Linked DNA regions of Mus musculus. The protein of the gene in region 1 interacts with the protein of each later gene in a biochemical or structural test. Links are inferred from orthologs where the notes say so. Each region holds a gene or a part of one and is shown in the gene's direction. Other genes may lie near its edges. The genes, in order: Stub1, Bag1, Insr, Irf1, Hsf1, Cyp3a13 and Ube2v1.

What was found.
Region 2: of the proteins of Stub1 (region 1) and Bag1, one has a biochemical effect on the other in vitro, tested with the Homo sapiens proteins (3 studies listed by BioGRID, with this or other methods). The link is inferred for Mus musculus from reciprocal best matches to the Homo sapiens genes STUB1 and BAG1.
Region 3: the proteins of Stub1 (region 1) and Insr form a complex in vitro, tested with the Homo sapiens proteins (2 studies listed by BioGRID, with this or other methods). The link is inferred for Mus musculus from reciprocal best matches to the Homo sapiens genes STUB1 and INSR.
Region 4: of the proteins of Stub1 (region 1) and Irf1, one has a biochemical effect on the other in vitro, tested with the Homo sapiens proteins (4 studies listed by BioGRID, with this or other methods). The link is inferred for Mus musculus from reciprocal best matches to the Homo sapiens genes STUB1 and IRF1.
Region 5: the proteins of Stub1 (region 1) and Hsf1 form a complex in vitro, tested with the Homo sapiens proteins (2 studies listed by BioGRID, with this or other methods). The link is inferred for Mus musculus from reciprocal best matches to the Homo sapiens genes STUB1 and HSF1.
Region 6: of the proteins of Stub1 (region 1) and Cyp3a13, one has a biochemical effect on the other in vitro, tested with the Homo sapiens proteins (3 studies listed by BioGRID). The link is inferred for Mus musculus from reciprocal best matches to the Homo sapiens genes STUB1 and CYP3A4.
Region 7: the proteins of Stub1 (region 1) and Ube2v1 form a complex in vitro, tested with the Homo sapiens proteins (4 studies listed by BioGRID). The link is inferred for Mus musculus from reciprocal best matches to the Homo sapiens genes STUB1 and UBE2V1.

Annotation. Positions count from the first base shown.
Region 1 is NC_000083.6:25,830,134-25,834,169, reverse strand, and holds Stub1 (STIP1 homology and U box-containing protein 1), read left to right. Parts: upstream 1-1,250; 5' UTR 1,251-1,316; coding exon 1,317-1,478; intron 1,479-1,925; coding exon 1,926-2,124; intron 2,125-2,208; coding exon 2,209-2,374; exon of another isoform or gene 2,375-2,538; coding exon 2,539-2,626; exon of another isoform or gene 2,627-2,804; coding exon 2,805-2,861; exon of another isoform or gene 2,862-2,951; coding exon 2,952-3,068; exon of another isoform or gene 3,069-3,159; coding exon 3,160-3,285; 3' UTR 3,286-3,536; downstream 3,537-4,036. Other genes in the region: Jmjd8 (jmjC domain-containing protein 8 precursor), read right to left, coding at 3,580-3,660, 3,736-3,870, 3,964-4,031. UniProt on the Homo sapiens protein: E3 ubiquitin-protein ligase which targets misfolded chaperone substrates towards proteasomal degradation.
Region 2 is NC_000070.6:40,938,295-40,941,794, reverse strand, and holds part of Bag1 (BAG family molecular chaperone regulator 1), read left to right. Parts: intron 1-156; coding exon 157-270; intron 271-2,610; coding exon 2,611-2,718; intron 2,719-3,500. UniProt on the Homo sapiens protein: Co-chaperone for HSP70 and HSC70 chaperone proteins. Acts as a nucleotide-exchange factor (NEF) promoting the release of ADP from the HSP70 and HSC70 proteins thereby triggering client/substrate protein release.
Region 3 is NC_000074.6:3,276,818-3,280,953, reverse strand, and holds the start of Insr (insulin receptor isoform A preproprotein), read left to right. Parts: upstream 1-1,336; 5' UTR 1,337-1,825; coding exon 1,826-1,925; intron 1,926-4,136. UniProt on the Homo sapiens protein: Receptor tyrosine kinase which mediates the pleiotropic actions of insulin.
Region 4 is NC_000077.6:53,775,419-53,777,824, forward strand, and holds the end of Irf1 (interferon regulatory factor 1), read left to right. Parts: intron 1-499; coding exon 500-635; intron 636-894; coding exon 895-1,028; 3' UTR 1,029-1,906; downstream 1,907-2,406. UniProt on the Homo sapiens protein: Transcriptional regulator which displays a remarkable functional diversity in the regulation of cellular responses.
Region 5 is NC_000081.6:76,494,362-76,497,861, forward strand, and holds part of Hsf1 (heat shock factor protein 1), read left to right. Parts: intron 1-1,608; coding exon 1,609-1,717; intron 1,718-2,091; coding exon 2,092-2,228; intron 2,229-2,474; coding exon 2,475-2,599; intron 2,600-3,257; coding exon 3,258-3,333; intron 3,334-3,406; coding exon 3,407-3,468; exon of another isoform or gene 3,469-3,500. UniProt on the Homo sapiens protein: Functions as a stress-inducible and DNA-binding transcription factor that plays a central role in the transcriptional activation of the heat shock response (HSR), leading to the expression of a large class of molecular chaperones, heat shock proteins (HSPs), that protect cells from cellular insult damage.
Region 6 is NC_000071.6:137,908,120-137,911,619, reverse strand, and holds part of Cyp3a13 (cytochrome P450 3A13), read left to right. Parts: coding exon 1-81; intron 82-1,555; coding exon 1,556-1,704; intron 1,705-3,500.
Region 7 is NC_000068.7:167,615,006-167,618,505, reverse strand, and holds part of Ube2v1 (ubiquitin-conjugating enzyme E2 variant 1), read left to right. Parts: intron 1-528; coding exon 529-677; intron 678-3,500. UniProt on the Homo sapiens protein: Has no ubiquitin ligase activity on its own. The UBE2V1-UBE2N heterodimer catalyzes the synthesis of non-canonical poly-ubiquitin chains that are linked through Lys-63.

The DNA of each region.
Region 1 (4,036 bases):
GTTCACTTGGCCTGGGTCCTGTAATTCTTGGCAGGTCCTTGTGGGAGGCCCAGTCAGGGTGAAGGTCAGGCAGCAGGTCTGGGCATACATCTGCCCCCCAAGTTTGCACAAGACGAAGAGTCTACAACTCTAAGACACTCACTAGTGAGGTCCACAAGGGTTCTGGGGTCAAGTTACTAACCACCAGAACCATGATGGGGCCCTGGATGACCTCTCAGGCCCCGCTCAGCCCCGCTCAGAAAGGCAGTGAACTCTTGCACCTGGGCTAGAAACAGCAAGTAGTGCTTGAGTGTGTACTGGAGGGTTAGCAAGCTAGGAACTGTAGCCACCGCCTCTTCGTATATGAAAGCTGCAACCCCAGAAACCTCTGCCTCCAGGACCACTGCAAAGAGTGACAAGGAGGTTCTGGGGATAGCTTTTTTTGAGCTCCTAGAGCCCCCACCCAACTTGGGCAAAGATGCTACCTACTCACTCGAGGCAGTGGCAGAAACCACGCAGCGAAGTTTGACTGCGGCGCCCAGATCAGCAGAAAGCCGAGTTCTGCTTCTCCAAGTCCGGGGTTGGGGGTGTTAGCGGCCAACAGCTGATGCAGCAGCGGCTAGAAATGCCTCAACGACAGACCATGGGGTCAAAGGGTCTTGGTGCAGGCGCTCTCCAAGGAAACCAGCCGGCTCCGCCCTTGAAGAAGCTCCTCCCCATGACCGCGAGAAGGGCAAGAGTCCAGCCGTGCACCCGCAGCTACTTCTATAGCAACCGCAGAAGGTCCTTCGGTGTCAGCGTGTCACGTGCTTGTTTCTCAGCCATTAATGGCCGCAGGCAGCTCCTCCCGATTCCCGAGGAAGCCCCTCGAGAGCGGTCTGATCTGCGGGCCTCTCTTCTACCCTCAATTCCGCCTTCCTACCGGCGGTCCAGACGTTCCCAGGCTGTCGCGTGAGCCCGTGTGTGCCCTGGTGGTGCGCTAGGACCCGGGCCTAGTGACCGGCCCTCGGAAGGCCACTTCTCAATGACCGCTGCCACGTTCGCCCAGCTTGGGGCCGGAGGGCGGGGCTTGAGCGCCGATGGGCGGAGCCTTGGTCTGAGCAGGGTAGGTCTCGGTTACTGTAGGGCGGGGCCTGTAGAGCGCGGCGGAAGCTTCTCAGAGCTAAGGGAACTGGCTCAATCCACGAGGCTCCGCCTTTGCTCACGTGTCCCCATGCCAGCTCCGCCCCACACCGGAAGTTCCGGTGGCGGATCGCCGACCGGGCGGAGCTGATCGCTGCGCGGGCTGCGAGATCTAGGTGGCCGGGCGCGGAGCCCAAGCCGTGCCGCGCGGCGCCATGAAGGGCAAGGAGGAAAAGGAGGGCGGCGCGCGGCTGGGCACTGGTGGCGGCGGCAGCCCTGATAAGAGCCCGAGTGCGCAAGAGCTCAAGGAGCAGGGAAACCGGCTCTTCGTGGGCCGCAAGTACCCGGAGGCGGCGGCCTGCTACGGCCGCGCCATCGTGAGTGCGGGAGGGGCGGGGGCGGGGCCCGATGTGCCTCCCAGTTTTGTGATCCCGGACAGGGTTTCTGGCAGCCTGGACTCGATGGCTCGCTCGCTCCCCTGGTGCCCGGATTGCTGTTCCCGAGTCTAGGGCTGATTTGACTGGGAACTGGCGGGCGGGATGCTTGATTAAGTAAGACTAAGGATGACACCAGGAGCTCTTGCCCCTTGAGATTTCCAAGCCCAGAGCTTGTAGAGGGGTTGTGGGATTTCTCTCAAAAGCAGTTGGAGGCAAGAAAGCATGGCCAGAATCCAGAGCTCTTGATAATTCGGAAATCTCCAGTTCCTCTATTCCAGCCATGGGCCCCCAAAGCTGGAGCATTGACCAGATCATTGGCTTTCAGCTTGCTAAATGAGAGGGGATCAACTGAGCCCACACTCTTTGACGCCTGGTCTTGGTCCCCAGACTCGGAACCCACTTGTGGCAGTGTACTACACTAACCGGGCCCTGTGCTATCTGAAGATGCAGCAGCCTGAACAGGCACTTGCTGACTGCCGGCGAGCCCTGGAGCTGGACGGGCAGTCTGTGAAGGCGCACTTCTTCCTGGGGCAGTGCCAGCTGGAGATGGAGAGTTATGATGAGGCCATTGCCAATCTGCAGCGAGGTGGGCTGACAAGATGCAAGGTTGAGGGCACCTTGGGGGACCAGGATTGTTGACAAGTGTAACCAAAAGTGTCCACTCCCCTAGCCTATAGTTTGGCCAAGGAGCAGCGACTCAACTTTGGGGATGATATTCCTAGTGCCCTTCGCATTGCTAAGAAGAAGCGCTGGAACAGTATCGAGGAACGGCGCATCCACCAGGAGAGTGAGCTGCATTCATATCTCACCAGGCTCATTGCTGCTGAGCGAGAGAGGTGGGTCCCTCCCCCAGCAGACACTGAGTCACCAGCACAAGTGTTTTTATTGAAGGACAACAACCGGTACATGGGAAGCCCAGGAGGAAAGAGGCCTGAGATGGGGCGGGCTCTGTGATTTCCTGGTCAGGGCCATCACCAACTAGCTTCTGGTTAACCCTCAGGGAACTGGAGGAGTGTCAGCGGAACCACGAGGGTCATGAAGATGATGGCCACATCCGGGCCCAGCAGGCCTGCATTGAGGCCAAGCACGTGAGGGTGCCCCTAGTCCACATGTGGGTCATTGTGTGTGTGTTTGTGTGTGGCATGAAAAGTGCCCCAGCCTTTGGTGGATCTGTTGGCCCATGCATGACATGAGTGCCCTGGTGGACAGAGTGTGTGTGTCTGTGTGGAGACAGGAGTTGCCCACACATGGCACTCAACTCTGCAGGATAAATACATGGCAGATATGGATGAGCTCTTCTCTCAGGTGGACGAGAAAAGAAAGGTGAGGACCCCCGGAAGCTCATCGGCTGCTGCTGGTATGGTGACCCCCACAGCCCCCTCCAGTTCTAGACATTTTCCCCTTGTGCTATAGAAGCGAGATATCCCTGACTACTTGTGTGGCAAGATTAGCTTTGAGCTGATGCGGGAACCCTGCATTACACCCAGTGGTATCACCTATGACCGCAAGGACATTGAGGAGCACCTGCAGGTAAGGAGGGCCCATGGAGACCGGGCCATGGAGAGCCTTGGTACCCGGATCGGTATACTCAGGCCATTGAACACTCTTGACTCTGTTGCAGCGTGTGGGCCACTTTGACCCTGTGACCCGGAGCCCTCTGACCCAGGAACAGCTCATCCCCAACTTGGCCATGAAGGAAGTCATTGACGCTTTCATCTCTGAGAACGGCTGGGTAGAGGACTATTGAGGCCCCATGTCCTGCCTGGCACCCTGGCCCAGGAGGATCTGGAGACGGAAGCTCCAGTCCCTGTATAGTTTGTGTCCCTGGGCCTGCCCCCATCGGCCCTGCTGATGGGTTCTGAACTGCTCCCCTTCTCAGCATACCCCTTGCTGGACCATGAGCCTCCCTTGTCCCCCTTCTGGGCTGGAGAGTGGGTGAGGGTGGGCTGAGGTTGCTGCTGCTGCCACTGTCCTGTAATAAAGTCTGTGAGCACTACATTGGCATGTGCTGGTGCAGTGGGCTTGCCAGTTGCCTGTCTGGCTAGCCAAGGAAGGTAGAAATGAAGACACTGGTGTCCAGATTGAGTGTGGCATGCCACCACCGATCAGGAAAATACAGTACCTGGGAGAAAAGAAAAAAAAAATTTTGATTCATGGCTTTTTGAGTTAGCCCAACCCCCACCTACCAGCTACTGACTTCACCAGCCTGGATGGTACATTCTAGAGGCCGTGCTGACAGGGCTAGAGATGGGTATATTTCCAGCAGCCAGGCCAATGTGGTCTTGTTAGGGTGGAACTCAGGTGTCTTCTCAGGAGGGTAGAGGAACCAGCGCTGGAGGCAGGAGTGTAAGGTCACTATGTGTGCAATGGACTATAGACACCAGATTTACACACACACATAACACACACATAACACTGTACTGACCTTCCGACCATAGATAACCTCTGAGAAACCAGGCCCATGCCAGTGGAAGGGTACCCCAGATCCAGCTCCTGTG
Region 2 (3,500 bases), on another chromosome or scaffold:
CTAGGATGCTCGCTTGGCCTTCCTTCTCCCTGGGCTGGGCTTTATGGATAGGAATCCTGTTGTCTAACCCTTTGACTTGCTTTCCAAGAAGCACAAGAGGTTGGCTCAGTTGTTTTAGGTGAGCAATTACTGACCTCGTTTTATTCTTTATGTTAGAGCAATCCAGAAGAAGAGGTTGAGTTAAAGAAGCTGAAAGATTTGGAGGTATCTGCAGAGAAGATAGCTAACCACCTGCAAGAATTGAATAAAGAGCTTTCTGGCATCCAGCAGGTGACTTCTCTATTCTGTGGATAGAGTGGTATGGTATTGTTGCCTGGTTGGCTTTTTAAAAAATAATTTATTTCATTTTTAAATTATATATTAATTATGTGTGAGTCTGCCTGGGTCTGTGTTGGAGTAGGTGGATGTGAGTGCTGGTGGCCAGGAAGACACCCCCCACACCCCCCAGAGCTGGGGTGATGTGAGGTGGTGAGCCTCTAGATGCTGGGAGCAGAACGCAGGTCGGCTAGTAGAACAGTACACCTTCTTAATCTCCGAGCCATCTCTCCAGTCCTGTTTTGTGTTGTAATTATAAAATTAGTTTGTGATGCTTACACAAAAGTTTTATATGTGCGTATAGATAGATTCAAGCCGAGGCCTTTCACGTCCTAAGCTCAGCTCTGCTCTCACTGTGCTGCTTTTGTTGTTGTTGTTGTTTTGTTTGTTTGTTCGTTTTTTTGGTTTTTGTTTGTTTGGTTTTTGTTTTTTTGTTTTTTTGGTTTTTCAAGACAGGGTTTCTCTGTGTAGCCCTGGCTGTCCTGGAACTCACTCTGTAGACCAGGCTGGCCTTGAACTCAGAAATCCGCCTGCCTCTGCCTCCCAAGTGCTGGGATTAAAGGCGTGCACCACCACGCCCGGCTCTTACTGTGCTTCTTGTGTGCAGGTCTGTATGTCTGACCCAGAGATGCTATTACTCTGAAAAGTATTTTTCACCTTATTTAGTTAAAATATAATATGCTATACATTTGGTAAATTGTTCTTTTACTGGCTAAAAATTAACATTTTCCTGTGTTGTTGAAAATGGTCATATTTTCCTGCATGTGAATATATCATGGTTTACCTACCTTAGTCTCTGTTCTCTGTTTTACCTGATTTTTTTCTCTTACTGTGCTGCTGCTTTGAGTGCCCTTAGACAGGAGTCCTTTTTGAGTAGTTGTGATTGTCTTTGATAGAACTGAGTTTGGATTTCTGAGTAATGTTCGAACTTCTTGCTGTGTGTTTACAAATATGCCTTTGTCACTCTGGTTTGATAGCCATCTTCAGAAATTCCTGCTTTTCAACTCAGCCACCCGCTAACTGATCACTAGGCAAAGAAATGCAAATGAACAGCAGGGTGGTTTAATGACAGTAAGTGCTACCTCAACCAGGTGTGGGCTTGTACACCGTAATCACAGCTTTTCTCAGAGCAAGAGACGGGATCAGTTTAAGGGCAGCATTGACTATGCAGTGAGTTAGAGATCCTGTCTCAAAACCAAAGCCACAATAATACCGCCATCCTCTGTTATCTTGTGTATCTATCTGTGCCATGAGTTATGTGAGCATCTACACATCTGCCGGTCAGCATCCCATAATCTGAGATCAGTGAGACGTGGCAAGTTTAAGGAACTTGCTTTAAGATCTTAAGCCAAAGTTGGGAATGTAGCTTAGCTGATAAAGTGCTTGCCACACAGCATCAGGACCTGGGTTCAGATTCCCAGCATCCATGCAGAAACTGGGCATGATGGCACACTGTATAATCCCAGTGTGGGGGAGGCAAAGAGAAGAGGGCTGGATCCCAGCTGCTCACTGCCCAAACAGTCTAGCCAAATTGGGCAAGCTCCAGATTCAGTAAAAGACCCTGTCTCAAAAAATAAGGCAGAGTCTTAGTCAGTGAAGAGGCGCCGTGACCACAGCAACTCTTAAAAGAAGAAAGCGTTTATTTGTGGCTGGCTTAAAGTTCAGAGGTTTAATTAGTCCATTATCATCATGGCAGGAAGCATGGTGGCATGCAGGCAGACTTTGTGCTGGAGAGGTAGCTGAGAATTCTTCATTTCAATCCACAGGCAACACTTAGAGAGAGACACTGGGCCTGGCTTGGGCTTTTAAAACCCCAAAGCCCACCCCCAGTGACACATTTCCTCCCACAAGGCCACACCTCCTAATCCTTGTCAAGTAGCACTACTCCCTAGTGACCAAGCATACAAATATATGGGGGCCATTTTTATTCAAACCACCACACAGTGTTTGGCAAAGACACCTCACGCCAACCCTTGATGCACTGTGCCCAGCTTTTCAGTCTGTTCTCTTAATGTCTGCTTCTTATGTGCATGTATGCACCTGTGTTGAAGGCTGCACCATAGTTCCTCAGGGGGCATTCATGCCTCAGTGGACTGTGAGAGAAAGAACAGTCCACACCCTGGTAGTATTCTTAGTCTGGCCAAGGCAAGCATTTCTAATTTTCCCAGGGGATGAAGGTCTGAGATCTAGCCGGGCTTCTTAGATCAGTGGTGAACTCTGGGTTGCTTCACCAGTCTATTGGCATGGTTTTCCATGAGTCTCAAACACTTGCAATAGTGCCTTATTCCTTCTCAGGGTTTTCTGGCTAAGGAATTGCAAGCGGAGGCTCTCTGCAAACTTGATAGGAAAGTAAAAGCAACAATTGAGCAATTCATGAAGATCTTGGAGGAGATTGACACAATGGTAAGTAAACATTCATATAGAGGTACTAGCCTTTTTATTTACTTTTAACGTTTTATTTATTTATATATACAGCGTTCTGCCTGCATGTATGCCTGCAGGCCAGAAGAGAGCACCAGACCCCATTACAGATGGCTGTGAGCCACTATGTGGTTGCTGGGAATTGAACTTAGGACCTCTGGAAGAGCGATCAGTGCTCTTAACCACTGAGCCACCTCTCTAACCCCAGAGGTACTTCTCTTTAGTGGCAGTATTTCAGTCTATTTCGTTCTGTCAGTATTACACTTGTGTTACCTGGGAAAATCTGTTGCTCGGGGATGTCAAACATCTACTGTTATGGGCCAGGTACTGTGTGTCTTAGTTAGCTTTAACTGTCATCTTAACACAGCCTAGAGGCACCTAAGAAATACGTCTCAGCTGAGGGATTACCCAGATGAGCGTGACCTATAGGCACACTGGGGCAAGATGGGTTTGGTAATTGATAGAGTCCATTATGAGCTGCATCTGCCCCAGGCAGGTGGTCCTGGGCTGTATAAGAAAGCCAGCTTGGAGCCAGGGAAATGGTTCAGTGGTTACAAGTACCAGTTGCTCTTCCAGAGAACTTGGATTTGATTCCCAGAATCTACAGTACCTTGCAACCCTCTCTAAGCCGAGTTCCAGGGGATCCAGTGTCCTCTTCAGGCCTCCTCAAGTCCCAGGCAGGCGTGTGGTATAGATATACATGCAGGCAAAACACCCATAAAATAAATAAGCCTTCCGCCGGGTGTGGTGGCACACGCCTTTAA
Region 3 (4,136 bases), on another chromosome or scaffold:
GTGTGTGGTGTGGTGTGCTAGGCCAAAGGTTGACCTTAAGTGTCTTTCTCTATTGCTTGCCACTTTACTTTTATTTTTACCTTTTTTTTTACAGATATTGTCAAACCCATTGCACAGACCAGCAGCCACAGTCCGGGTCTGAGTGAACATGTGAAGCAAAGGATAGAGGACTCTGTACTGCACATATTCCTAAGGCACCGACAGGGTTAGCGCCTCATGATGTGGTTGAGCAGGGCTGCTAGTGAATGGCTTTCTTAGACATACAGCCACCTACTGGTATGTGTGTTGAAAATGGAGTTATGTCTGCTCTGATCCTATATGAAGTTTCTAACGTGTTTCTAGAAGCCTTGTTATGTTCTTCTAGAGTCATTTCCTTATTGATTTCTGCTGGAATTCAGTGCTGGGTGGAGGGGGCGCAGGCCAGGGAATACAGGCTGCCTGCATTGTGGACACGTGGCTGTGGCCTGGAAGCTGGTGCCTCCAAGCTGCTGGGCGGGAGCTCACTGGGGAGGGAACTTGTTGGGCGCCTACTAGCTCCTCGAGAGAGCCAGGGTTGGGAGAATCTCGTAAGACATTGGTAGCATAGGCTGTAAAGAAAAACAGAATCAAAGGTAAAGAATTAAAGTGAATTCCCCACGGGAGTCAAAAAAATAGTAAAAAGGAGTAAAGAAAGACAAAATGTGCTTGGTTGAATCTGGCATCTAGGGGCATATTGGGGTGTTTATGTCCTGGGGTATCTGGCGGCATTTCCAGACTTTAAAATTGTTATTTCGGGGTAATTTGGGGTGTCTAGATCTGGCGGAGATCTAGAGTGTGCTCCAGACCTTTAAATTGGAACCTCGGTGTTACTTGTGTTTGCTGCAGTCAGGAGGGGACCTGGGGGCGTCCCTAGGCTTTTAAACTGGAACCTCAGGCCTGTTTAGTGGTTTTCGAGTCAGGCGGGGATCTGGGGACCCCTAGGTTTTAAAATCGGAACTTTGGGACTCTTTGGGGGCGTTCGTGTCAGGTGCGGATATGGGCAGCTCCGGACGTTTGACAGGTGAGTCTTAGAGTTGTTTGGGTGTTTATGTTACACTGGTATCTGAGAACGCTTACAAGCTTTTAAATCGTAATCTTTCTAAGCCAGCAGTTCGGGGTGTTGGGATTGGAAGAATCTGAAGTGAGCCTCGGGTCTCTGAAGTTGCGGGTTTTACGGGGCAAGGGGGCAAAGGGGCCGAGGAGGCGAGGAGGCGAGGAGGCGTGGCGTTGCCAGCTCTGGCCACGCCTCCCCGAGCTCTGCTGGCTTTCTCCCCCTCCCCCCCCAGCGGGCCTCACTGGAGCGCACAGTCCCTTCCCTGTCTTAATCCGCGCCACCTTTTCCCTTGGCCCGCGCGGGCCCAGCTGACGGGCTGCGTTGTTTACGGGCTGGAGTCGAGCCCTAGCTCCCGCCGCCACCACCAGCCCAGGTGCCCTCCAGTGCGCGCGTCCCTCTGTCTCAGACTCCACACAACGCGACCCACCCAGAGCTGCACGGAGGGCAGAAGCAGGAGACCCGGACAGGAGACGCACCGCGGTGAGCTCTGGACTCTGGGATTGCGGGCACGGGACCGGGCCTGGGTGACCTGCGGGCCGCGCCACGGTGTTGCTTGCGGCCGAGGCCTCTGTGCTCTTCCCGGGACTGTCCCCAGGGCCCTCTAGGCTGGAGAGCTGCGGCCTGTGAGCCACGGGCGTGGAAGAGAAGGACGTGCGGCCCCGAGCGCCTCTCCAGAGACCTTCTCACGGAGTATGTCCCCAGTAGGCCGGCGTGGCGTGCTCTGATCGCCGGGGTCCCAGCACTCCTACTGCTATGGGCTTCGGGAGAGGATGTGAGACGACGGCTGTGCCATTGCTGGTGGCCGTGGCCGCGTTGCTGGTGGGCACAGCCGGCCACCTGTACCCTGGAGAGGGTAAGTCTGGGACAAGAGGCGATCACAGTATGTCGGGGACACTTCTCCCACCGCCCCAGCCAATCTAGAACCCTCACCCTAAGGAGTGAGGGTCGGGGACACCCCTCTCCACCGCCACAGCCAACCTAGAGAATTCTCCCTTTGGGCTGAGTAATGGGGACAACCCTTCCCATTGCTCCATACAACTTAGAGCCCCCCAGGCCCCACCAAGGAGTCAGGGTTACAGACACCCATTTCACCACTCCAGCAATATAGTCCTTTCACGAGAGTTGTGGACATTTCTCGTTCTTCTTCCATCAACCTAGAGCCCCCTCTCCACGGACTGAAGGTTGAAGACTCCCGTAGCGTCCTTGTGTCTATGAAGAGTCCCCTCCCTATAGTGATCATCTTTACACTGGGGAAGGGGAAGAGTGGGTTTGGTGGCCCTGGCCCTGCGTGAAACCCCGGCTGACCTTGGCCTTTGCTCACTGGGCTTGTGGCTCTGTACCCCGCGTGTGTCCATCTCGGGTCTGAGGAACCTTGCCCCAGTGCCCGCCCAGGCTTCGGGTGTCTGTCCCCAGTGCACCTCTCAACTGTGTCTGTTCTTTTCTCTAACCCCAAATCTGTCCTCTGAGGCTCTTTGAGGTTGCTTTAAGTAAGTATGGTTACTGGGTTGCAACAGATTCAGACATCTGAGCAGTTTAAACCCAAAGCCAGGGGTATCCTCTTCGACGGAGGACACTTGTTGGAGAATCGACCCCTTGTGGCTGCTATGTTTATAATTCTCTACTTCCAGATGTCTAGAGGCAAAGTCTGCATACCTTTGGCCCCACAGCAATCATAGTAACAGTAGGGGTAGTTTTCAGGATGGTTATAATTAGAATGATTATGAGTCTCCAGGCTGGTTAGCGCTAGAACCTCCCAGTGTTCCCTGGAGGCCAACATAGTTACATACCCATTTCAGAGAGGGCTAAAATGAGGTTCAGTTAGCCCATTTGTTCAGAGGCTGGTCTTATAGTTCTGTGCTTGGTTATGGCCAAGGCAGGAGGATAGCGAGTTGTTTGAAGCAAGCCCAGCTATTGAGTGAGTTTTGAGGCTAGTTAGACACTGTTTCAAAAAACATGCAATGACAAATGTCTTTTGAGTTACTGGTTCAGCTTTCTCTGAAAATGGAAATTAATTACAATAGGGAAGGGGTCAAGGAGAGAAGGAACTGCCACGCTTTTGTGAATGAGGGAGATGTGTGTGTTGGGAGGAGGGTGCAGGATTATGGAACAGGTTGGGTTGATCTTGTGGAGTGGGTCTGCTAAACTGGTAATGTCTCTGAGGCCCCCAGGATCCGATATACAGAAGGTACTCAATGAGGAATGGCCATTGGTTTGGTTTGTGCCCGAGTGCACGTGTTCGTGCGTGTGCATGTGTGTTCGCGTGTGCACTCCTGTGCCTGTGTGTTTGTAGAGGACCTAGGTTGACATCCAGTGTTTGTCTCTGTCACTTTCAGCCTTGTGTTTTGAGTCAGGGTCTCTCAATGAACCTTGAGTTTGCTGATTTGGCCGCACTGCCTAGCCTGTGAGTGCCAGTTCCCCCTCTCCCTTCACCTCTTTTTATCACTAGAGTTATAGATAGATGTATGCTGAAGTGCTGGCTTTTAGGTGGGTGTGGAGAGATCTGAACTCAGGTTTTCATGCTCGGGCAGCAAGTGCTTTGACTTACTGAGCCATCCATCTCAGTAAGTAAAAACGGAGCCAGTCCATGGTTTGGGTTCTTATTAGAAAAATCCAAGATTGTTAACATCTACATTGCTCTCTGAGGCCTTAAGGAAGTAGGGTTATGTTGTATATGCACCTGTGCACTTGGGCGCATAGTGTTGTACCTTGAGCTCTGCTTTTACATTTTTTGGTAATTGATTGTTTGTCCATGTCTGGACTTCCTGAGCCCAGGAGACAGAGCTTCTGGGGGCTTTTAAATATACATGCAGTGTTCACAAGGATAGGGCCTGGTGTTTGTTCCTCACCGATGTTAGAACCTGAGCAGTGCTGGACACATAGTAGGTGCATATAAACATTGTTCCCTAATGGCACACAGAAAGCCAAGACATTGGGGTTTGTGCAGTAAATATACTGGGTGTGTGGCCAGAGTGTAGCCCTCCCTGTGCACACACAAAATCCCTGGGTTTCATCCCTAGACTTACATAAACCATGTGTGGCGTTGTATGCCTGTCAGCAAGCACTC
Region 4 (2,406 bases), on another chromosome or scaffold:
GGATCTGTACTAGGATGACTTTAGGAGGAAAAAAAACAAAATAAGAAACCCTCTGGTTTTTTTCTTAGCAAGTTCTTTTGTGGTTTACTTTTTCAGCTGCAGTTTTCAAAGTGACCATAAATGTTTTTAAGGTAGTTTTATCCCGAGTCTGGCCCATGAGCACAGAACTTTTGAAATGTGTGCCTAGTTGCTTGTCTCTGGCTTTTCTGGCTTGTTATGCTAACCTTGGCTTTAAGCTGCCCTGCCAGTTCCTGTGTCCTCCCCCAGTAGAGGGGACTCATGCAGGTTCTGTGCCAGAGGGGGACAGCGACACACAGGAGGGGCGGGGGCCAGCAGGGCCCAGGTCGCTTTGTGCTCCCCTCCCTAGACAGTTTTGCATATTGTTACCCATAAACAGTCAAGGTTATGATCCTGCTTGGGAAGGGTTAGGTCACCCAAGGGAAGGGCCACAGGGTGAGTGCACTGGCAGGCAGCTGATGGCTTCATGCTCTCTCCCCAGCTCTTTGAACAGTCTGAGTGGCAGCCGACACACATCGATGGCAAGGGATACTTGCTCAATGAGCCAGGGACCCAGCTCTCTTCTGTCTATGGAGACTTCAGCTGCAAAGAGGAACCAGAGATTGACAGCCCTCGAGGTAAGAGGCTTCTAGGTCCTTCTGGGTTCTGGGAGAAGGGGGAAGCTGTTGGAGGCAGAGCCAGAGCCAGATTAAAGCATCCCAGCATGCCTTTTAAACCAGGCCAACAGGTACAGCATGAAGTGAGAATTCCTAGCTGCCCCTGTGCTGGGGCTGGTCTATAGAAGAGATGGAGTTGCTGTGGGCTGTGGACAGCTGGGTGAGAGTCACATACCCTTCCTTACTTATACAGCCTTTTTCTTTTTTGGTCATCTTCTAGGGGACATTGGGATAGGCATACAACATGTCTTCACGGAGATGAAGAATATGGACTCCATCATGTGGATGGACAGCCTGCTGGGCAACTCTGTGAGGCTGCCGCCCTCTATTCAGGCCATTCCTTGTGCACCATAGTTTGGGTCTCTGACCCGTTCTTGCCCTCCTGAGTGAGTTAGGCCTTGGCATCATGGTGGCTGTGATACAAAAAAAGCTAGACTCCTGTGGGCCCCTTGACACATGGCAAAGCATAGTCCCACTGCAAACAGGGGACCATCCTCCTTGGGTCAGTGGGCTCTCAGGGCTTAGGAGGCAGAGTCTGAGTTTTCTTGTGAGGTGAAGCTGGCCCTGACTCCTAGGAAGATGGATTGGGGGGTCTGAGGTGTAAGGCAGAGGCCATGGACAGGAGTCATCTTCTAGCTTTTTAAAAGCCTTGTTGCATAGAGAGGGTCTTATCGCTGGGCTGGCCCTGAGGGGAATAGACCAGCGCCCACAGAAGAGCATAGCACTGGCCCTAGAGCTGGCTCTGTACTAGGAGACAATTGCACTAAATGAGTCCTATTCCCAAAGAACTGCTGCCCTTCCCAACCGAGCCCTGGGATGGTTCCCAAGCCAGTGAAATGTGAAGGGAAAAAAAATGGGGTCCTGTGAAGGTTGGCTCCCTTAGCCTCAGAGGGAATCTGCCTCACTACCTGCTCCAGCTGTGGGGCTCAGGAAAAAAAAATGGCACTTTCTCTGTGGACTTTGCCACATTTCTGATCAGAGGTGTACACTAACATTTCTCCCCAGTCTAGGCCTTTGCATTTATTTATATAGTGCCTTGCCTGGTGCCTGCTGTCTCCTCAGGCCTTGGCAGTCCTCAGCAGGCCCAGGGAAAAGGGGGGTTGTGAGCGCCTTGGCGTGACTCTTGACTATCTATTAGAAACGCCACCTAACTGCTAAATGGTGTTTGGTCATGTGGTGGACCTGTGTAAATATGTATATTTGTCTTTTTATAAAAATTTAAGTTGTTTACAGCGTGTGGCTTTTTATTTAGAAATCAGAATTGGTCTTACTTTTTAAGGAAACCTCCTGATGGGAGTCTTTTGCTGGCTTTCTGCCTGGGCTTCAGCTGAGCATTGACATGCGTCGATCACGAATCTTTCCAGTTATGGTCAAGAAGAAGATGGCAGGAGGAGGGGGCGTCATGCCACAGGGACATGCTCATTTATACTCATTTGCCACGGAAGGGAGTTTTTATTTTAATTTTTCACTTCATGTGCCTGAATGTATGTCTATGTAAGGGTGTCAGATCCTCTGGAAATTGAGTCACAGACAGCTGTAAGCTGCCATGTGGTGCTGAAAATTGAATTTGGATCCTCAGGGAGAGCAGCCAGTGTGCTCTTCACTGCTGAGCCATCTCTCCGGCTGGGTTTTTGGTTTTGTTGTTTGTTTGTTTTTGAGACAGCGCCCCACAGTGTATCCGTGGCTTTCCTGGAACTCACTGTGTAGACCAGGCTGGCCTCAAACTCAAAGA
Region 5 (3,500 bases), on another chromosome or scaffold:
GAAGAATGGGGACTAAACAATTAGTGTAAAGAGCAGAGCCTCTTTCTCTCACTGATACCACACTTCCTACCTGCACTTTCCCTGCTACTTAGGATCCTCTTCCTCCTGTGTCCACTTGCTCCACTGTTTCTGTTTAAGCCTGTTTCACTGCTCTGCGTGTTGAAAAAAGCCATGGTGCTAATCCAATACCTTAGGATCCTTTTGGTTGATTCTGTCTGTATTATAGTTCTCCCACCCCAGCAAAGAGACTGGTTCCTCAGCTGATTGGTCTTGCACACCCACGAGAATACTGTCCCTACCCACTGTAGGACCTCCCCACTCCAGTATCAAAGGCCTCTGAGTTGCCATGGCCCTTCAGCCCCTCCTAGTGGTTCTGACTGTGCTCAGGAAAGCACCAGCACAGAAGCACGGCCCCAGTATTTAACAGTTTTCATCTGAGTTTGAAAAAGAATAAGGTGGTATTTCTGATCAGGACTGTCTTCCAGAGCATCAACAACTTCATTCCTGTTTTGACTGCCACAATTTGGAGCTGTGTGTGTGTGTGTCCTTGAGCATATATGTGAGTGCCACATGTATGCCAGAGGCCATGAAGGACAAAAAAGGACATCAGGTCACGTAAAACTTGGAATTACTAGCAGTTGTGGGTTGACATATGAGTGCTGGGAAACAAACCCAGGTTCTCTATAAGAATAGTAAGCACTTGGAACTATGTCTCCAGCTATTCTTAAAGAAAAAATTGCTGGAGCTGAGACGAAAGGATGGACCATCTACAGACTGACACACCCAGGGATCCATCCCATAATCAGCCTCCAAATGCTGACACCATTGCACACGCCAGCAAGATTTTGCTGAAAGGACCTTGATATAGCTGTCTCTTGTGAGGCTATGCCGGGGCCTGGCAAACACAGAAGTGGATGCTCACAGTCAGCTATTGGATGGAACACAGGGCCCCCAGTGGAGGAGCTAGAGAAAGTACCCAAGGAGCTGAAGGGATCTGCAATCCTATAGGTGGAACAACGTTATGAACTAACCAGTACCCCCCCCCCTCGTGTCTCTAGCTGCATATGAATCAGAAGATGGCCTAGTCGGCCATCAGTGGAAAGAGAAGCCCATTGGTCGTGCAAACTTTATATGCCTCAGTACAGGGGAACACCAGGGCCAAGAAGTGGGAGTGAGTGGTAGGGGGGTGGGGGAGGGTATGGGGGACTTTTAGGATAGCATTTGAAATGTAAATGAAGAAAATACCTAATTAAAAAAAAGTTGCTAAATAAAAGAAATAAAAAAAAAGAAAAATTGCTGATTAAAACTAAATTCTAGTCAGTCCCTAGAGATGACCAGAATGCTGTGGGTGATTTATGAGTCTAAACCTAGCAACTAAAAACTGTCAGGAAGTTAAGATCCTGTCTCTGGTTACATGGGCCTCACTGCTCAGACCTAGGTTCCATGGCCCGGATACCAGCCATAGAGTCCTACAGCTACACTCACCTCCTGCTACTACTATGGAGGGAGAGTGTGCAAATCCACCACACATGGAGAGAGAGACATCAGGCCACAGTGAAACTATGATGGTGTCTGCTATATATGACCTGCCCATGTGTCTCCTGACAGAGTGGGAACAGCTTCCACGTGTTTGACCAGGGCCAGTTTGCCAAGGAGGTGCTGCCCAAGTACTTCAAGCACAACAACATGGCTAGCTTCGTGCGGCAGCTCAACATGTGTAAGTACCTCTTTCAGGATGCTATGCTTGCTTCACTGGGTGTGGAGAAATAGACCCCAGCCTATTTCTAAGAGATGGAGGCCTGGGTTGGCTGAAGAAGGGTCCTCATGAGTTTGAGCCTGAATTCTCCAGGGAAGAGTGTAGGATATGAGGCCCTAACCTAATGGCCACACTTCCATTTACAAAAAGGGAAGCTGTTCGGGGACAAAGTCTTTTCCAACCAAGAATAACTTGCTATGTATGGTAAATGGACACCAGTCAGACTCTCGTACAGTTTTCTAGGAGGCCCCTTGCCTGCCCTAGGCCATGGCTAGGCTGTTGAAGGTCTGGTCCCTGGCCCTCAAACAGAACTTCCCCCACCCCCATATACACAGATGGCTTCCGAAAAGTAGTCCACATTGAGCAGGGTGGCCTGGTCAAGCCTGAGAGAGATGACACCGAGTTCCAGCATCCTTGTTTCTTGCGTGGACAGGAACAGCTCCTTGAGAACATCAAGAGGAAAGTGACCAGCGTGAGTCACCAGCCCTGAGTACAGCCCCTCCCTGCCCTAAATATTCCTGCAGGCTATGGGCTGGGAGCAGTATCTAGGTGGTGCTGCAGGACTAGCCTAAAAGCATAGCCTGTGCTCTCTGTCTCTGACCCCCTCCCCCTTCCCAGTGTTTCCCAGGCCCTCCTCATTCCCTGGATGCCTAGGTGAAGCACAGGAGCCTACCACACTCCAGAGCCACTTTCGACTCTTGTATGCCCCACCCCTTAGGTGTCCACCCTGAAGAGTGAGGACATAAAAATACGCCAGGACAGTGTCACCCGGCTGTTGACAGATGTGCAGCTGATGAAGGGGAAACAGGAGTGTATGGACTCCAAGCTCCTGGCCATGAAGCAGTAGGTCCCAAGGCTCAGGAGGGTGGCCAGGTTGCTTTGGGTCTCCTACCCGATCCTGCAGAGCCATTCAAGCCTCCTTCCCCCTCCCAGCCTGCCTTCATTGTTTCTATGGAAACCCTGTCTTGTACATCTCCAGACACAGAGTGGGGTTGGAGGTCTCCTACTGCACCCACTTCTCACTCCCCTGCTGGAATTCACATTTTCAGGATTTGAGCACACAAAGCCCATTTCCAGGTGCCTCCCTAAAAACCAGGCCTGACAGGAGCTGACCACAACAGTCCTTGGGCCAGACCTCTCTACTGTTCTCTAGTCACAATGACTCAACTCGCCCTTTATCACTCACTCAGCACAGTTCACAGCTGCCTTCTACCCCAAAACTGAGGGTAATCTGTAGTTTAGGATCTTTCCCAGAGACCTGTCCTGTGTGCCTAGCCAGTATGTAACAAGTGCCCCATTGCAGCTAGGATCCTAAGGTACCATCAGATTCTATCCATGCCCTCCCTCAGCCCTGGCTGACGTTTGAATCCTGCCCTGTAAGTAGAGTGGAGTTAGGGAATCAGTTGTGCAGTGAGCCCTCATCTGGTCCAGCCCTGTCCATCAACAGCCTGATTCTCTGGCTCTTCTAATGTGGCCCAATTGACCCAGCAATGTGTTGCAGCGAGAACGAGGCCCTGTGGCGGGAGGTGGCCAGCCTTCGGCAGAAGCATGCCCAGCAGCAAAAAGTTGTCAACAAGGTGGGCAGGGCTGGTGGTAGGTGGGTCCCCTCCATGACTGGGCCAGGGTGACAGTATCCTTTCTGCCCCACAGCTCATTCAGTTCCTGATCTCACTGGTGCAGTCGAACCGGATCCTGGGGGTGAAGAGAAAGATGTGAGGCTCTGGGAATGTCTACACTGTCCACT
Region 6 (3,500 bases), on another chromosome or scaffold:
CATCATTAACCAGTTTACAGATGTGTTGGTGAGAAACATGAGGCAGGGATTAGGAGAAGGAAAGCCCACCAGCATGAAAGAGTAAGTACTAGCACAGGTGTTGAGCGCTGGGTTGTTGTATTAGTTACTTTCCTGTTGCTGTGACAAAATATTCTAACAAAAGCAACTGAAGGAAGAAATGTTTCATTTTGGCTGTGGTTCCGAGGGAGATACAGTCTCCTGGCAGGAAGACTTTGTGGCAGGAACAGGAGGCTACCTGATCACAATGCATCTACAATCAGAAGGAAGGAAGTATGGCCAGATTATATGAAGACCTGCCCAAAGTGACTTGCTTCCAATGAGTCTGTACCTCCAAAAGTTGCCACACTTTTCCCAGACTGTGGCACTAGCTTGGGACTAAGTATTCAAACACACAATCCTTTGGTGGGACATGCACATTCAAATCATAACAGTAGTGCTAGGAGACTCCATAATTACCTACTGGGGAGTTGAAGTTCCCAGTTTAAAAAACAAACAAAAACAAAAAACAAAAAAACAGGGTTAGGGTTAGGGTTAGGGAACTTTCATTTATTGAAGTTACTCCAGGACTAGTCATAAGTGGGTTGTATGGTGTTACCACTGATTAGAAGAGCTCAGACTATGACTGGAGTTGAGACCAAAGGAAACTGGAGACATCCCTGTCACAGCATTTGGACTTTAATGGGTCACTCTGGAAAGGAGCGTCTCTTATGAGAAAGTAGAGTGCCTGGAAGAGAATAAGTCTCACCTCTGTATTCAGGAGTCATTATTAACTTGTCTATCCCATTATAATTATTAAAATTCTAGAAGAAAGATAGTTTAGAAAGAAGGAACATTATCTGAACAAAGTTGTTGGTGTGGATTCAATAGAAAAGAGTGGAGAAAGTACTTGGCACTTATTAGAATGCTGTGTGTATACCAGGAAAGTTAAAACATCAAACCATTTATATTACATCATAGACTTTTTTGGGACTATCAGTGAAATAGAAACTATTGCTTTGGGCTGTCAAGATAGTTTTGTGGGTTACGGTACTTGCCACCTGAGTTAGAGCTCTCGGAATGGGAGAGAATTGGCATCCACAAGGAAGAACAATGTAAAATGAGCATGCATGGTATTTAGCTTATCCTTCCCACACTTACACAGAGCAGAACCAAACCGAGGGAATGCTGCCACCCAGAGTGGAGGATTGTGTCTTTCCACATCAATTAACACAATCAAATCAGACCCTCACAGGCCTGTCCAGCTGGTAGAAACAATTCTCTTCCCCAGTGACTGTAGATTATGTCATTTTGATAATTAAAACTCACAATCATAGATAGTACCCATGTAGTCCCACATCACAAAGATAGACACAACACTGTCACCTGTCAAGCTTCTCATAAGTGAGTGTGACAGAAGCAAGGATATGGTAGGCGGGGTTTCTGTATGACCTTCTGGCTATCTTGGCTGGACATGTGAACTTACTACTGCTTCATACTCTGTCTATCTTAGCTAGACCAAGAAGATATCTAATAGTTATATTCCGTTTCTCTTCAGCATCTTTGGGGCCTACAGCATGGATGTGATCACAGCCACCTCATTTGGAGTGAATATTGATTCCCTCAACAACCCACAGGATCCTTTTGTGGAGAAAATCAAGAAGCTCTTAAAATTTGATATCTTTGATCCACTGTTCCTCTCAGTGAGTACGTAAGCTAATGTTTCATTCTTTTTGTCTTTTTAAGCAACAGTGTAGTGAAAGATAATCCACATATGCTGTGAGTAGTCCACTGAAACAGGCCAGGATTTGGTTTTCAGTATATTTAAAGTATTTCCAGCTGTCACTGCTAGCTGTGGAACATCTTTGTCACTCTAGAAACTCTGAACTTTTAATGACCTTACCTCCCTCATTCATAAGCAGCAAGTAAGCCTACTTTCTAGCTGTGTAGACTTGCCTATTCTGAACACTTTATAAGAGTAAAATTGTGCAATCTATCACCCTCTTTGTGTCTGGCATCCAAATTAGTATGCTTTAAAAGTTCATGCACCTTGAAGTGAGTCTTAGTGCTTAATTATTTTCTATGGCAGAATCTCATCCCATTGTAAGGACATGACATGTCCTATTTACTCACGACTGCTGGTTATTTAGAATGTTTGACCTTTTGGCTCTCGGGAACAGCGCTGCTGCTATGAATACTTGTACACACATTTGTGTCTGAACAAGTTTCAAGTTGTTTTTGGTGTATACTTGAGAAGAAGTGCTGAGTTGTATGGTCATGTCTAATATAGAGGACTGAAGGGACTGTGGGTGTTGGCTTTTCTCAAAGATTTAATTGTTCATCTGTTCTGCTCATTTTTAATTTGCATTGGTATGTTCAGTTGTATAGAAGAGCATCCTTGAGGCGAATCTTATCTAGTTAGAGTAATATAGCTCTTTTATAGTCACTAATATTGTATTGAAAATTTTCTTTTTACATATTTACAAGTGTTGTTTATTTGTAGTTTTCATGTGATATTTCTATCTGATCTTAATATTAGGGGCACTACTTGTATTACAGAGAATTTTAGAGATACTTTTATATATGTCTAAATTTTGGAAGTGTTTGGGAAGAAATGGTATATGCTTTTCTTTAAGCATTTGGTTAAATTCCGCAGTGAAACCTTATGGTCTTAGGCTTTCCTTGTGGACAGCATGTTTTTTAAACCAGGGATAGTTTTAATTCTGTACATAAGGCAAGGTAGGAGGAGGTAAAGATTCAATATGATCCAGGAACACATTTATAAGATAATCTCATTTTATCATAGTTCTCCATTTACTCTAGACTGTGAGAGATGCTATGGGTCTCTGTGTATTTTCTGTGCAACATATAACCTCTTATGCCACAGGTCTTTTACGCATGGTATGCATTTCTTTTTGAGTCAGCTTCTATGGTTTGTGAACTTCTAGGAATCTGTACATTCTAGCTAAGTTACATAATTGAGGCTGTTGTTCTATCCCCCATTTATTAATAGAATTCTTTATATGTCCTTATATTTTTCATAACATTATTCCCCTCCCACTTCACTATGCATGCTAATAATCTGAGTCATCACTATTTCTAGAACAATCCCAGCTAACACTTTGCTAACCCTGAAGATATTTTCATAGAACCATCTTTGTTTTCATTGATTTCCTTCATTCTTTTTATTTCACTCATTTGCACTTTGGTCGGTAGTATCCAGTCTTTCTGTCTCTATTGTGTTTTTCTCTTTTCTTTTAGTGGCACATGCTAAAAAGTGTTGTCATATGAAACCAGCTTATCTTCTGAATATTGTATTGCCTCCATCTTACAAAAACCTTTTTTTTTGGGGGGGGGGGTTGGTTAAAGTTATCATCATTATTATTGTGTGTATATATTCATGCATATTTACATACTTGTATATATGAATGCACATAAGTATTCAGAGGTAAACCTCAGAAGAAAACCTCAGGTGTCTGTTACCTTTTGTTAAGGCTCTCTCA
Region 7 (3,500 bases), on another chromosome or scaffold:
TGACATTGAGGTGGCTCAGGCGCCTGGTGTGGTTGTGGCGGTGTCTGGGCTGCCCTCATGGGCTTTGTGGCTAAAAAATAAACCAGAAGGGCCAAGGCTTACGGAGTGAAAAAGCCTCCTCCGCGCTCCTGCCTGATAGCTACTTGTGGGGACAGCATTTCATGAGATACAATGCTGGTGTCGCTAAGGCCGTCCCAGCCAGGAGCATCCCTAAGTCTCTGCAGCCTCCAAAATGTGTCATACCACGATTGCGTGAAAGGAAGTGCCGTGTCCCAGGCTGCGGTTGGCATTCCTCTCAGCCAGTGCTCAGAGCAAAGGGAGCAACAGCTAAACGGGGTGGGGCACTGGAGGGGCTGGGGTGGGTGAGCACCCCTCTGGCTCCCCATGGCTCGGTGCGTGTGAGGCGCCATTGCCAGCTGTGTACACAGCGTCCGCAGCACACACTGGTGATGAGCAGCTCCTCGCTGTGCTATCTTAGCCGTACACCTGGATTTGCTGGAACCTTGAATTTCTTTCCGTTTGTTTTAGGAGTAAAAGTCCCTCGAAATTTCCGACTGTTGGAAGAGCTGGAAGAAGGACAGAAAGGAGTAGGCGACGGCACAGTTAGCTGGGGTCTGGAGGACGACGAGGACATGACACTTACAAGATGGACAGGCATGATAATTGGACCTCCACGAGTAAGCACCAAGCTCCAGCTGTCACTGTCATCGAGTTAAGCTCACTGTGCCTTTCCTTAAAGCAGTTGGCAGACACTCACCAGAGGTGTTTGCTCAAGTGTGCTGTTTTTTCTCTGACCCATTTCAATTTATACATTTGAGCCCCTCTGATGCGCTTTAATCCTCTTTGGTAATCAAATCCTGTGTAGCCAGTAGTGTGGATTTACATGACAGTGTAGACTGTGGTCTTTGAGCTGCCGTCCCTCAGCTGAGTTCAAGACAAAGCAAGCACTTGGACAGCTACCATCCCAGCTTTGCTGTGCCTTTGTGTTCTGCCTGTCACTCAGGGCAGGTTCAAGTCCTGCCATCAGCTCTGCTGGGTCCAGAGGTATTTAAACCCAGGGCCAAAGAAGAGGGGCAAGCAAGCCTACAAGAACTCTGCTTAGTGAGGTCCTAGCCACTGTGTGTTTGAGGGTACATGGTTAGCCCTCCAAGAATTGTCACCCAGTGCCCACAAAGTCGTTGTCTCATCCTCCTGCGTAACCACATTCCAGGTCACAGGTGGGGAAGCTGACCCAGGGTGAAGTCACCTGCCCAGGGTCACAGAACTGGGTCTGTTTGCCAAGCCTGTTCTCTCTCCTCCCTGCCCACTGGTCACTGACACACTGCTGACAAGTTGAGTATTCATTAGTCAGCACTGAAGTGCTAGGGAGTTTACGACTAGGTACAGGAGAGAATACAGGAAGAGGGAAAGACCCTAAAAGGGACACTTCTGGAGATGAGCCTGAGTGTGCTGTGCCTATAGTGACAGCTTCCTTCCTTTTCAACAGCAAGGCACAGTGGAACTAAGAGGGCAGACACCTACCTCCCGCTCATTAGCATTCAGACATTTGAAGGTCACCTTTGAGGGTCATTGAGCAGCCTTGCACTTCACTCCTGCTTCCTAAGTCATCTTTGCAACTCTGATGCCGGTGCAAGAGTTAATGTATATACATTCCCCATTTCCTCCTCCCTGCACAGCAGTGTGCTGAGTCTCAGGACGTACAGGTAGATGGCTTTGCAGATGCTCTCCTTCCTCAGAGGATCCAGCCTCGAGGGAGATGGTCTCCTTAGAGCACCTGTGTGTGGGTCAGGGGGTACAGAGGCTGTGGACCTTGTGCCATCAGCTCTGTTGGATGCTGAGAGGCTCTGTGAGAACTAAACAAGAGCTTGCTATGGCCATAGTTACCCACATCCCAGCATGCAGTGGCAGAGGCAGAAGGACCGACCAGTCACTCTCAGTGATCTTTGCCACACAGGGAATTTTGGGCCAGTATGTATCCTTGAGACACTGTTTCAAAAGAGACAGATGGGCTGAAGACAGCTGGGTGGTTAATAGCACTTGTTATTCTTGCAGAGGACTGAGGTTCGTTCCTAGCACCCACCCATGTGAAGGCTCACAACTGTCACACATGAAGCACACACACACACACACACACAAGCAAAGCAAAAGGACACACAGAAATCTAAAACAGCTTGTAAATACTGTTGAAAATGTTCTGCCTAAATGTTCAGGCTAGGATTTCTACAGCACACTTTATAAACTCAGAAGGTGAGGCAGGAGGATTACTGCAAGCTCAAGGCATCTTGGACTACATAAGACCCTTTCTGTAACAAAAACTGTTTAGATTGTCCTGAGCTAGGCTTTATACCCTTTTCTAAAGGGGAGTGGGGCTCACTGAGCTGCTAGACACCAGATACTTTCCACGTGTCTATTGTACGGGCTTGCAGTGCAACCCGATGGAGAGGATCTACCTTAGGACCTCACAGATGCTTGCTTGCCAGGCAGCACGCCATGCCTCTGAAATACACTCCAGGCAGACCAGCCTGTCTTTTGTTTAAGACAAAGTGGTTGCTCAGACCTAATCCCAGCTCTTGGGAGGTTGAGGCAGGAGGATCACTATTGATTGGAGGGTAGCCTGGGCTACATATCCAGCTCCTGTCTCAAAAACAGAAGAGGAAGCTGGGCATGGATGGGACATGCCTTTAATCCCAGTACTCAGGAGGCAGGGGAAAGTAGATGTCTATGAGTTTGAAGCCAGCCTGGTCTGTAGAGAGAGTTCCAGGACAGCCAGGGCTGCACAGGGAAACCCTGTGTCCAGAGACTTAAGAAGAAGATCCTGCCTTGCAGACCTGGGTGCCAAAACCTTGGAATCCTCTTGTCCCAGGCTCCCAAAAGCTGGGGTCTAGGGCTGTGGACATGGCAGGCAGGTGCTCTACCACTGGGCTATGTCTGTTGGCCGTTTGTGTTTGCATCTGCTGGTATCCTGGAGCTGTGCTCGCAGGAACCTGTGATCTTCTGACAGGTGCTAGGCATCAACTGGGTCCTCTGCAAGAACAGCTAAGTCTGTGTGCTCCCCAAACCTTGATTTTTGAGATATAGTTTGATAATGTAGCACAAGCTGGCCTCAGATTCCACCCCTGAAGCACTGAGGCAGTGTGTCTCCTTGCCTGGCTTAGAGTGCTCTTAAGTGTGTAGTCCAGCTGGGTTAGTATTTGTAGTACCTACAGGAGGAGTCTGGGGAGCGAGCATGTGCTCCCACAGGCAGGGCGGGGTTGAAAGCTGGTGCTCCACAAGCCTGCCCTCCTCTTCATGCTCTGTAGCCCAGCACAGGGTAGCTCAGTGGGCGATGCACCTGTGCCAAGCCTGGCAGCCACTGTGAGTGAGTATGTGTAAGTGAGTGAGCTATCGAGCGAGCGTGTGAGAGTGAGTGAGCATGTGGGAGTGAGTGTGTGAGTGAATGTGGGTGAGAGTGAGTGTGGGTGAGAAAGCATGTGAGAGTGAGTAAATGTGGGTGAGTGTGA